Linked DNA regions of Arabidopsis thaliana. The protein of the gene in region 2 binds, or shares a complex with, the protein of the main gene of each other region. Each region holds a gene or a part of one and is shown on either strand. Other genes may lie near its edges. A codon is read from its position in the direction of its gene.

The links.
Region 1: the proteins of AT5G26110 (region 2) and AT4G34412 are in contact, whole or in part, in a cryo-EM structure (PDB 8K20), measured with the Arabidopsis thaliana proteins. Residues at the interface, in NP_001331017.1 of Arabidopsis thaliana: Thr27, Phe28, Ala29, Arg31, Asn58, Ala61, Arg62, Thr65, Arg68, Lys69, Leu70, Gly71, Val72, Cys73, Val76, Leu77, Tyr78, Ala79, Val80, Asp81, Thr82, Leu83, Leu84, Gln151; in NP_680763.2 of Arabidopsis thaliana: Asp7 (codon at 2,057), Phe51 (codon at 1,611), Leu54 (codon at 1,602), Ala55 (codon at 1,599), Gln58 (codon at 1,590), Ile62 (codon at 1,578), Arg66 (codon at 1,566), Lys147 (codon at 739), Thr149 (codon at 733), Gln151 (codon at 727), Glu152 (codon at 724), Ile155 (codon at 715), Ser156 (codon at 712), Asp160 (codon at 700), Val163 (codon at 691), Cys164 (codon at 688), Ala167 (codon at 679), Ala168 (codon at 676), Asp170 (codon at 670), Ala171 (codon at 667), Leu172 (codon at 664).

Annotation. Positions count from the first base shown.
Region 1 is NC_003075.7:16,452,441-16,456,516, forward strand, and holds AT4G34412 (EKC/KEOPS complex subunit tprkb-like protein), read right to left. Parts: upstream 2,194-4,076; 5' UTR 2,076-2,193; coding exon 2,005-2,075; intron 1,784-2,004; coding exon 1,717-1,783; intron 1,624-1,716; coding exon 1,501-1,623; intron 1,101-1,500; coding exon 1,017-1,100; intron 916-1,016; coding exon 829-915; intron 821-828; exon of another isoform or gene 746-820; coding exon 659-745; 3' UTR 520-658; downstream 1-519. Other genes in the region: RRTF1 (redox responsive transcription factor 1), read left to right, coding at 1-358.
Region 2 is NC_003076.8:9,117,386-9,121,695, reverse strand, and holds AT5G26110 (Protein kinase superfamily protein), read left to right. Parts: upstream 1-1,854; 5' UTR 1,855-2,099; intron 2,100-2,231; exon of another isoform or gene 2,232-2,325; 5' UTR 2,326-2,343; coding exon 2,344-2,406; intron 2,407-2,477; coding exon 2,478-2,591; intron 2,592-2,693; coding exon 2,694-2,972; intron 2,973-3,052; coding exon 3,053-3,166; intron 3,167-3,262; coding exon 3,263-3,335; intron 3,336-3,419; coding exon 3,420-3,457; 3' UTR 3,458-3,789; downstream 3,790-4,310. Other genes in the region: AT5G26100 (uncharacterized protein), read left to right, coding at 3,879-4,310.

The sequences.
Region 1 (4,076 bases), on a different chromosome or scaffold from region 2:
GATCAGAGATCCTAAAAGAGCCACACGTGTTTGGCTTGGTACTTTCGAAACCGCCGAAGATGCGGCTCGAGCTTATGATCGAGCCGCGATTGGATTCCGTGGGCCAAGGGCTAAACTCAACTTCCCCTTTGTGGATTACACGTCTTCAGTTTCATCTCCTGTTGCTGCTGATGATATAGGAGCAAAGGCAAGTGCAAGCGCCAGTGTGAGCGCCACAGATTCAGTTGAAGCAGAGCAATGGAACGGAGGAGGAGGGGATTGCAATATGGAGGAGTGGATGAATATGATGATGATGATGGATTTTGGGAATGGAGATTCTTCAGATTCAGGAAATACAATTGCTGATATGTTCCAGTGATAAATGAGCTCTTTCTTGTTGGCGTTTTTTGGAGTTAAGTGCAAGAAGAGATTGACACTGTGGCTTGTTTAAAGTGAACAAGAACAAGAAAGCATGTAATTAGTAGTCTCATTCTTTTGTTTGTGGTCAATTCTATGTTTATCTCATATAAAATCTGAGTTAAACCTATCTGAGGAGAGAGTAAATAAAGAGGTTAAGAAACCCAACATTGGTCTGAATTATAAACGTAAGTGTCAACGTTGTTTATAAAGGAGAAAACTATAATTGGTGACAAAAGACATAAAGAAAAGATGTCTACTCCTACAAAGCATCGCGTGCAGCTATTCGACAAACAATGGCATCTCCCAGAGAGGAAATTCCGAGCTCTTGGCTAGTTATCTTGTAATGCTGAAAACATGAATGTATTTGAGTTTATTTCTGTAACATTGGAAGCGAAATAAAAGGGTTATCAACTGTTACCAAAACATTACCTTTAGTATATTGGCTTGATTTGCATGTGTCTTCAATTCCTCCAAATCAATCTCCTTCCCGTTGATCAATTTCGCCACCTCCTCCATCTGGTTTTGATCTCAAATCATGTCATGGTTGATAAAAAAAAACCACTAAAAAGAGCAACAACATGGATAGTCAGCTCTTAGATGGTTGAAAAGATTATAACCTCAACGGGAGAAGCATTGAACCGGGCAGCTAGAATGTAAGTAGTGTTCTCAGAAATCCCACATCGTTTCAATGATTCTGTAATCTAGTTGAAGAGGAAAAACAACATTAGAGAAGTTGAGTGAACTGCTATTCTTATTACAATTTACCAAACCAGAGAAACTTGATAAATGAGAGAATCTCAATACTCAACTAACTATCTCATCTTAAACCAACTCACAACAGCTAAAATCTACTGCATTAAATCACCATCTAGTTATAGCAGACCTGTAGCTAAGGCTTGAACAACTGAACTAGACACACTAACTGGTCACTAGCTAACTAACTGCTCTCTAACCAACTCAAAACAGCTAGAATCTGATGCATTAAGTCTAATCTAGTTATAGTCGACCTATAGCTAAGGGTGGAACAACAGAACTAGACCCATTGTTTATCAGAAGTAGACAGGAATAGGTTTAAGAAGGACAAGAAAAGATTGTACTTACGTGCTTAGATCCTGAGTAATTGTAGACAAGCTCAGAATGAAGAGTTCTGGTTGATAAGGAATCGCGTGATTTGGAGATAAGTGCTTTCTGAGCAGCAGCCAATAGAGGAAAAATGTCTGGAATCTGATGATACACAACAAAATTCGTTAAGATCAGGAACTCTTTAGTCCTTACGAAAGTTGAAATAAATGGAGTAAACAACAACGAAAAACGTACAAGTGATGCATTGAGAAATGAGACCTCCAGCTTCAGACTTCCGTCAAGCATTGAATTCAAGAGCTCCCTGAATACGACATAAACCCCCTAATGTTAGATTCACTAGGAAGATAAAGAGAGAGGCTTTAGCTATGCAGAGATTAAGTAAACAGATTTTCCCTAAACCCATAAGTCTCTAACTAACAAACAAAATCGAAAACGCAATTTTCTTTCTCATATAACCAAATCACGAATTGCTTAAGTTATGGAAAAAGGGAGAGAATTGAAAAATCGAGAGAAGGAGCGTACTTGGAGTTGGTGACACCGGAGAAGAGGGAAACAGAGAGAGTGTTTCCACGGTCAAGATTAAAAACCTTCATAGCTTTAGCCGGCGGCGAAAAAGAGGGCAAGATTTTTAGGGTTATTACGACTTATTACTTCGCCGGAGATCGACACACATTCGGCGAAGTCAGAAGAAGACTAGTCAAAGATAAACCCTTCTTCTAGAAGATCTTCTTTCTCTTTCATAAAATAAAAAAAAATAAAAGACTACATTACATACGCGCCAGGAAGGGGTCGAACCTTCGACTTTCTGCTTAGGAAACAGACGCTCTATCCACTGAGCTACAGGCGCTCTTTACGCTACCAAGTCGCTAATAACGTAGTATTAGACACTAAACAAGTCTTTTTACCATTTCGATTATCATATTACGACGTCGAAGCAGGGTATTAGACTATCAGTGTGATAGTGTGTATGTTAAAATCTCATCAAAACAAACATCGAAATCGGACGTACTTCAACATTGAATTTCTGATTAAATTATCGATGTTTGCCAAATATCTTTTGAATAGTAGACACTTAAGATTTCAAGTACCCGTAAAAAGGATGGAGTAACATACTCAATAGAAAACTAATTAATCTATTCCATCCAGCCATATCCCTTAAGTGGAATCAATGATCACAACTGCTTCGTTACAAGACAACACCGACATTTTGACTAACGATGTTGGATTTAGTGTACGAGCTATGAAAGTGGAAAGGAGCACGAAGTTCACTGAACCTTGTTCTTTACTATTATTGTGAATCCAAGATCCGACCTTGTACGTCGAGCCTTTGTTTTCTTACTTTATAATAATGTTTTTTATGCATAAATCATCACAACAAGACAAACCTTTCTCAGATTTTGTGAACTGCAAGAGACAACCTTTGTTCACTATATGGGAGACCATAGCAGAGAGACATACTCACATATTTATATATTTTCTTCCCTTTTTCTTCCCATTATCCATGTGAGAGATTAATGTGATCGATATTGCATTACTTACATCAAATTAACTAAGTTTAGCTTTAACAAAAAAAAAAAACTAAGTTTAATATCAAGATTCATGATTTTTGTAACTCAAAATCAGCAATATAATTTACTCCTTATATATTACTATATAAGGTTCAATCATATAATTGGTACATGAGGTTCTTAACATTTAATTTAGCCAACATGAACCTATCACCAAGTTAATTGGCAAGCTTCAAATAAAATGAAACTCCATAGTCGAGAAAAACAATATAGATACAATACAATAAGAAGAGTAGAGTTAATTAATTATATCCGTTTTGTCTGCAAAAATGGGGGTTCTTGGTTGTTGGGGTGAAGATGAAGAGCAGCGTCTGTGTATAATTTACTGGCAACGGCTTGTGGGAAACCTTGTTGCGTGGGAACTCAGATTAGTAGTAATTACACTGTGCAATTACAGCTATCATTGTCACATCATGGGTCTTTTGAGATGTGTATAAAGTTTTATACTACTATATATTATGAAGTTAACTATTTATTAATTACTCAGCCTCCAGTTTATCTGTTATATATGTGTTTGTTCTTTTCGATTATGATTTAAACAAATCTTGTAAAACCTTTGGAGACTTTGGAAAGCCAACAAATTATTACTATTTTTTTATCCCCATTTCTGCTAGAAGCATAAAACAACTGAGTTTGGGAAATTTCTCAGAAATTGCATGCTACTATTTTGGAAATGCATGTGCATCAAATTAAAACGTTCATGTGCTTAAAACATCCCTTTGCGTCAAATTAGGGTTTATCTTCCAACAATTAAATACAGGTAGTATTGTTTTTGTGATCATAAATGGCTCTTCTTGACAATCAAGAGACTAAGCTTTAACTTTTCCCCGCTGTTGATCCCAAAAATGAGCTATTAAGTTATTATTGAAGATAACTTACATATATTAAGAATCTAATCTTAGATCTCTATACTCAAAGAGACAACACTTATGTCTCTTTGTGTGTGTGTGTGACTATCAAACACAATAATAAATATATATTTCTATTAAATTAATATAAAAGAAGAAGATATGACTCCAAAATGTA
Region 2 (4,310 bases):
GCAAGATTACTCTTCCTTGGTAAAAAAAAAACAATGGTAACACATTAGACCCTAAACAGTTCAGTCAAAGGAACTTACATTGTGTCGTCAAAATGCAGCTAAAAATAGCCCAAAGTTTAATTCTTTATTGTTTAAAATCCTTATCTAACAAACATTGCTTCTCACAGTTTCTTGTTTTTTTCTTTTCTTCAAACTATAATTAGAAAGACATCGAGAACATATCTTAATACTTGAGAAACTAAAATCCCCTAAATTCCAGCAATTTATCTGTCCTTTCAAAGCAATTTTAAGATTAAGAGAACCATAAAATTAAATTCCATTACTCTCACACAATTTTTGATTATATTATAACATTTTGTATGTTGGAGCAAGATGGCTCCCTTCATCGCCTTATTCACCGGCCTTTGTGGCTTCAAGAAAAACGCTCGGCCATTGGGAACGATTGAGACGATGTATCAGTCATCTCCTCGGGAGACCAAAGAAAGAGAACAAACAAATAATGACTTGCAGATCACGAAAAGTGATGACTTGTGGAACAAGGAAAGCGATGATCGAGATACTAATGCATTTAATGACGATAGTAATGAAGCGGACTCTGAGCTTCCGTTGCCTCCAGGAAGAAAAGGAACAATACGTGGAACATATTCGTGTAACAACATGGTGTTAAGAAGATCCTTGTCTACTAAGAAGAAACTGAGTGCGAGCCTAACGATCCAAATACCGAGATCATTGTCCATGGTCCTCAAACGTGACAAGGAGGAGGATAAATCTGTGAGGAAGAAGAAACTGAACGCAGATAATTCGATTCTGGTACTCCCAATTATACTTGGAGAGAGATGTAGGGTTCTTGATGCGGAAGAAGGAGATGAAGATCAAAGCCAAAGAATGGCAGAGAACAGAATATATCGTCCTAGATCCATGAGTTCGATCTCGATTTCGAGAACCAAGTCGAACATCGATATGAATGCTATTCCCGTAGAAGTAACATCAGAAGAACAAAAAATCTGATATTATGATGTCTAAAATGAACTAGCTTCATGGTGATTAGGGGTTAATTACTTAATTGTTAAATCTCATGAATCTGAGTGACATCATCGTGAAATATTTCGATGGAGAGTGATATCACCAATTTAGTTTGAAGGATCATGATAAAGAAAAGTACTCAATGACTTGGAAGCTTTTTTGAAACAAGTAGAGTTGTAATATAAATACCGGTTCACAAAAATGTAAACGAATTGATTTGGTTTCATATATAGACATATAGCTAAAGTGCATTTGGCTAAAGAATTTCACTATTAGACATTGTTTCAAATCATTAAAATTCACAAGCCAACATATTTGTCTTTTTTTAATACATGTAAAATTTATTCGAAAAAACGTTTTTACATCAAGTGCAACATTTGGTAAATAAATTGCGTACAAATTTCCAAGTTTTCATGGATCTATCTTCTATCTCATTGTTAACGAATAGAGGAGATCCAGTTTCAGACTTGTTTGTCGAGTTATCGAAGCAACTGTACGTGCTGGTGGTATTGGTGTCTCTCCAAATTATTAAACTCTCTAAGATGCATTCATTGTAATTTTTATTTTTTTTCTGATGAAGATAATTTTATATTCATCCAAAAAAAACTATCTAATTTGGGTAAAAATTGAGAATGACTTAAGGATTATTTAGAAAATAACTCAAAATGTATCAAATAGGGTTTTGGAAATTTTCCAAACCGAACGAACTAATCATAAACAATGCTGTTTCTGTTTTTCAATTCAAATTTGGATAAACCAAACAAAAACCGGTTCATGTTCTTATAATTTCGGTTTTTGATTCCGGTATGCACCTAGATAACCGGAATCAAATTAAAATTAAAAACCCTAGTTCCGACCTCGTCTTCATTGTTCACAAACGAGTCGCCGACGACAAACTCAGGCGAAAATTTCGCAGCTTCTCTTCCTCCGGCGGTGAAACACAGGTGAGCCGCGAGCCTTTCCGAAAGAGAAGCTTCTCTCTTTCCAACGAAAACAGGCGCCGCGAATATCTCTCTCTTCGTCTCATTCTCCGGCGAACACATACGAGCTCCTCTCCGTCACCACTCAGCTTGCAGGTTCAATTCGACGATAATCTTATGCAATTTAGAATTTTTGACCAACTTGGCAAGCTTGTTGTGTTAAATGATGAAAGGCAGATTTTTTGGTCAATGGTTGTTGATAACTGAAGTAGAGATCTTTAGTTGGAATAGACTTAAGCTAGAAGCGATTATTGTGTGGCCTTATTGCTAGAGCTTCAAAAACAATTGCTAAAGTCTCATTCTTTATGTTGGTTTTGTGTAGAATCCTGAGAAATTTAGAATGGATTGTGAGGAAAACGTTAGGGATGAATCACTCGTTTTGATTAAACAAGGAGCAGAAGCTGTAAGTGTCTCTGTGCGAATCTGTGTATATGTTTTTCTGTCAAGATTAAGTCTTTTCAGTTTTATCTATAGAGGGTGTTCGAGTCTACATTTGCTGGAAGAAGATCCATCGTGAAAGAACGTTTCTCGAAGAAATATAGACATCCGATTTTGGATGCAAAACTCACACTTAAACGCTTGAATGCGGTTGGTTTACTCCGCCTTTTTCTTGTTTCGTTGATGAAGTCATGAGAAAGAGAAGTAAAAATCGAGTATTTCATCTTATATGTGCTTATTTGTTGAATATAGGAAGCTAGGTGTATGACAAAGGCAAGAAAGCTCGGGGTTTGTACTCCAGTCCTATATGCTGTGGATACTCTGCTTCACTCTTTAACACTTGAGTACATTGAGGGGGTCTCTGTTAAGGATATTTTCCTTGAGTTTGGGACCAATGGGGTTGTTGAGGAACGTTTAGATGATGTTGCTGCTCAGATTGGGGCTGCAATTGCTAAGCTCCATGATGGTGGCTTGGCTCATGGTGATTTGACCACATCAAATATGTTAGTCAGAAGTGGAACAAATCAGCTGGTAAGTATCTTCAGAGGTTGTGATAAAGTTCTCTTGATTAGTTACTTATGATTCATGACCATGGATATGTCTTCCCTCAGGTACTAATTGATTTTGGCTTGAGCGTCACATCGACCTTGCCTGAAGACAAAGCTGTTGATTTATATGTACTTGAAAGAGCCTTACTCTCAATGCATTCGTCATGCGGGAATGTGGTAAGTGTGATGCAAATCATAACTTCACTACTTTTGCTGGGTCTGTTGTTGTTGTTGTTGTTGTTGTCTCACTGCGTATTTTGTTGTCAATTGTAGATGGATCGTATACTGACGGCGTATAGGAAGTCCTCAAAGCAATGGTCAGCCACGTTTAACAAGCTCGCACAAGGTTCTATCACACTCCTCTTCCACCTCCTCTTTTAAAACCAACTCTTCTTCAAACCTTTAGAAAGTCTTCTTTTGGTATATGCAGTGAGACAGCGAGGGAGAAAGCGGACTATGATTGGATGAGGCGATGAGCCAAGTTCTCCAGTGGTACTGTCCTTAAAACTTTGACCACAAAGCCACCCAAAATCTGTCCTGTATTATTATTCGATAGCGATCCAATTTGTCGATCAGTATTAAGGTATCAATGCTGAGATGTGTGATCGATTTTTTCAACCAGAAAACGATTATAGAACATATGTCAAGCAGGGCATTCTCATATAAGTACTTAAGAAAGCAACATTATTGATTACGGTTAGAAAGTTACTATATTTATCGATTATGTCAACGAACATATGACAAATAAAGAATGTTACAACACCATTATTACAAAACGTTTAACTACCTTTTATTTGAGCATATAACGGCTTCGTTCTCTAACCATTAACTTTTCATATATAACAAGAAAAAATAGATAAAACCTAAAAGTAATTTCAAAAAGAGTTAAATGGAAAACAAGTTGGTTCTTGGAGCCTTGTGTATATACCTTGTGTTACAAGGCACCTGCGGCGAGGAGAACAACCCTCTGATTAACCATTACGCTGATTACGAAACGATTCATCCTAGCGAATACTACAGCTCCGATTTCGAACTCAAAGACGGAACCAATGTGATCTTCGAAGCCATCAATGAATTGAAAGGGATCAAGAAACCAAAAGCAGGCTTTATGTGCAACTATGGCAAAAAACAATGGACAAGGTCTCTTCCGGGAGACATTTTCTACGCCAAGTTCTTCTTTTACAGCATTAATCCAAACGCAAAGGTCGTTCAACATTGCCATTTCCGGTCAAATTTGGGTTATGTTGATGCCTATATCAAGATAACCCCAGCGCTCGGACGAACATGTCCCGGTTACAGATGCGTTTTAGCGGTTAGACGT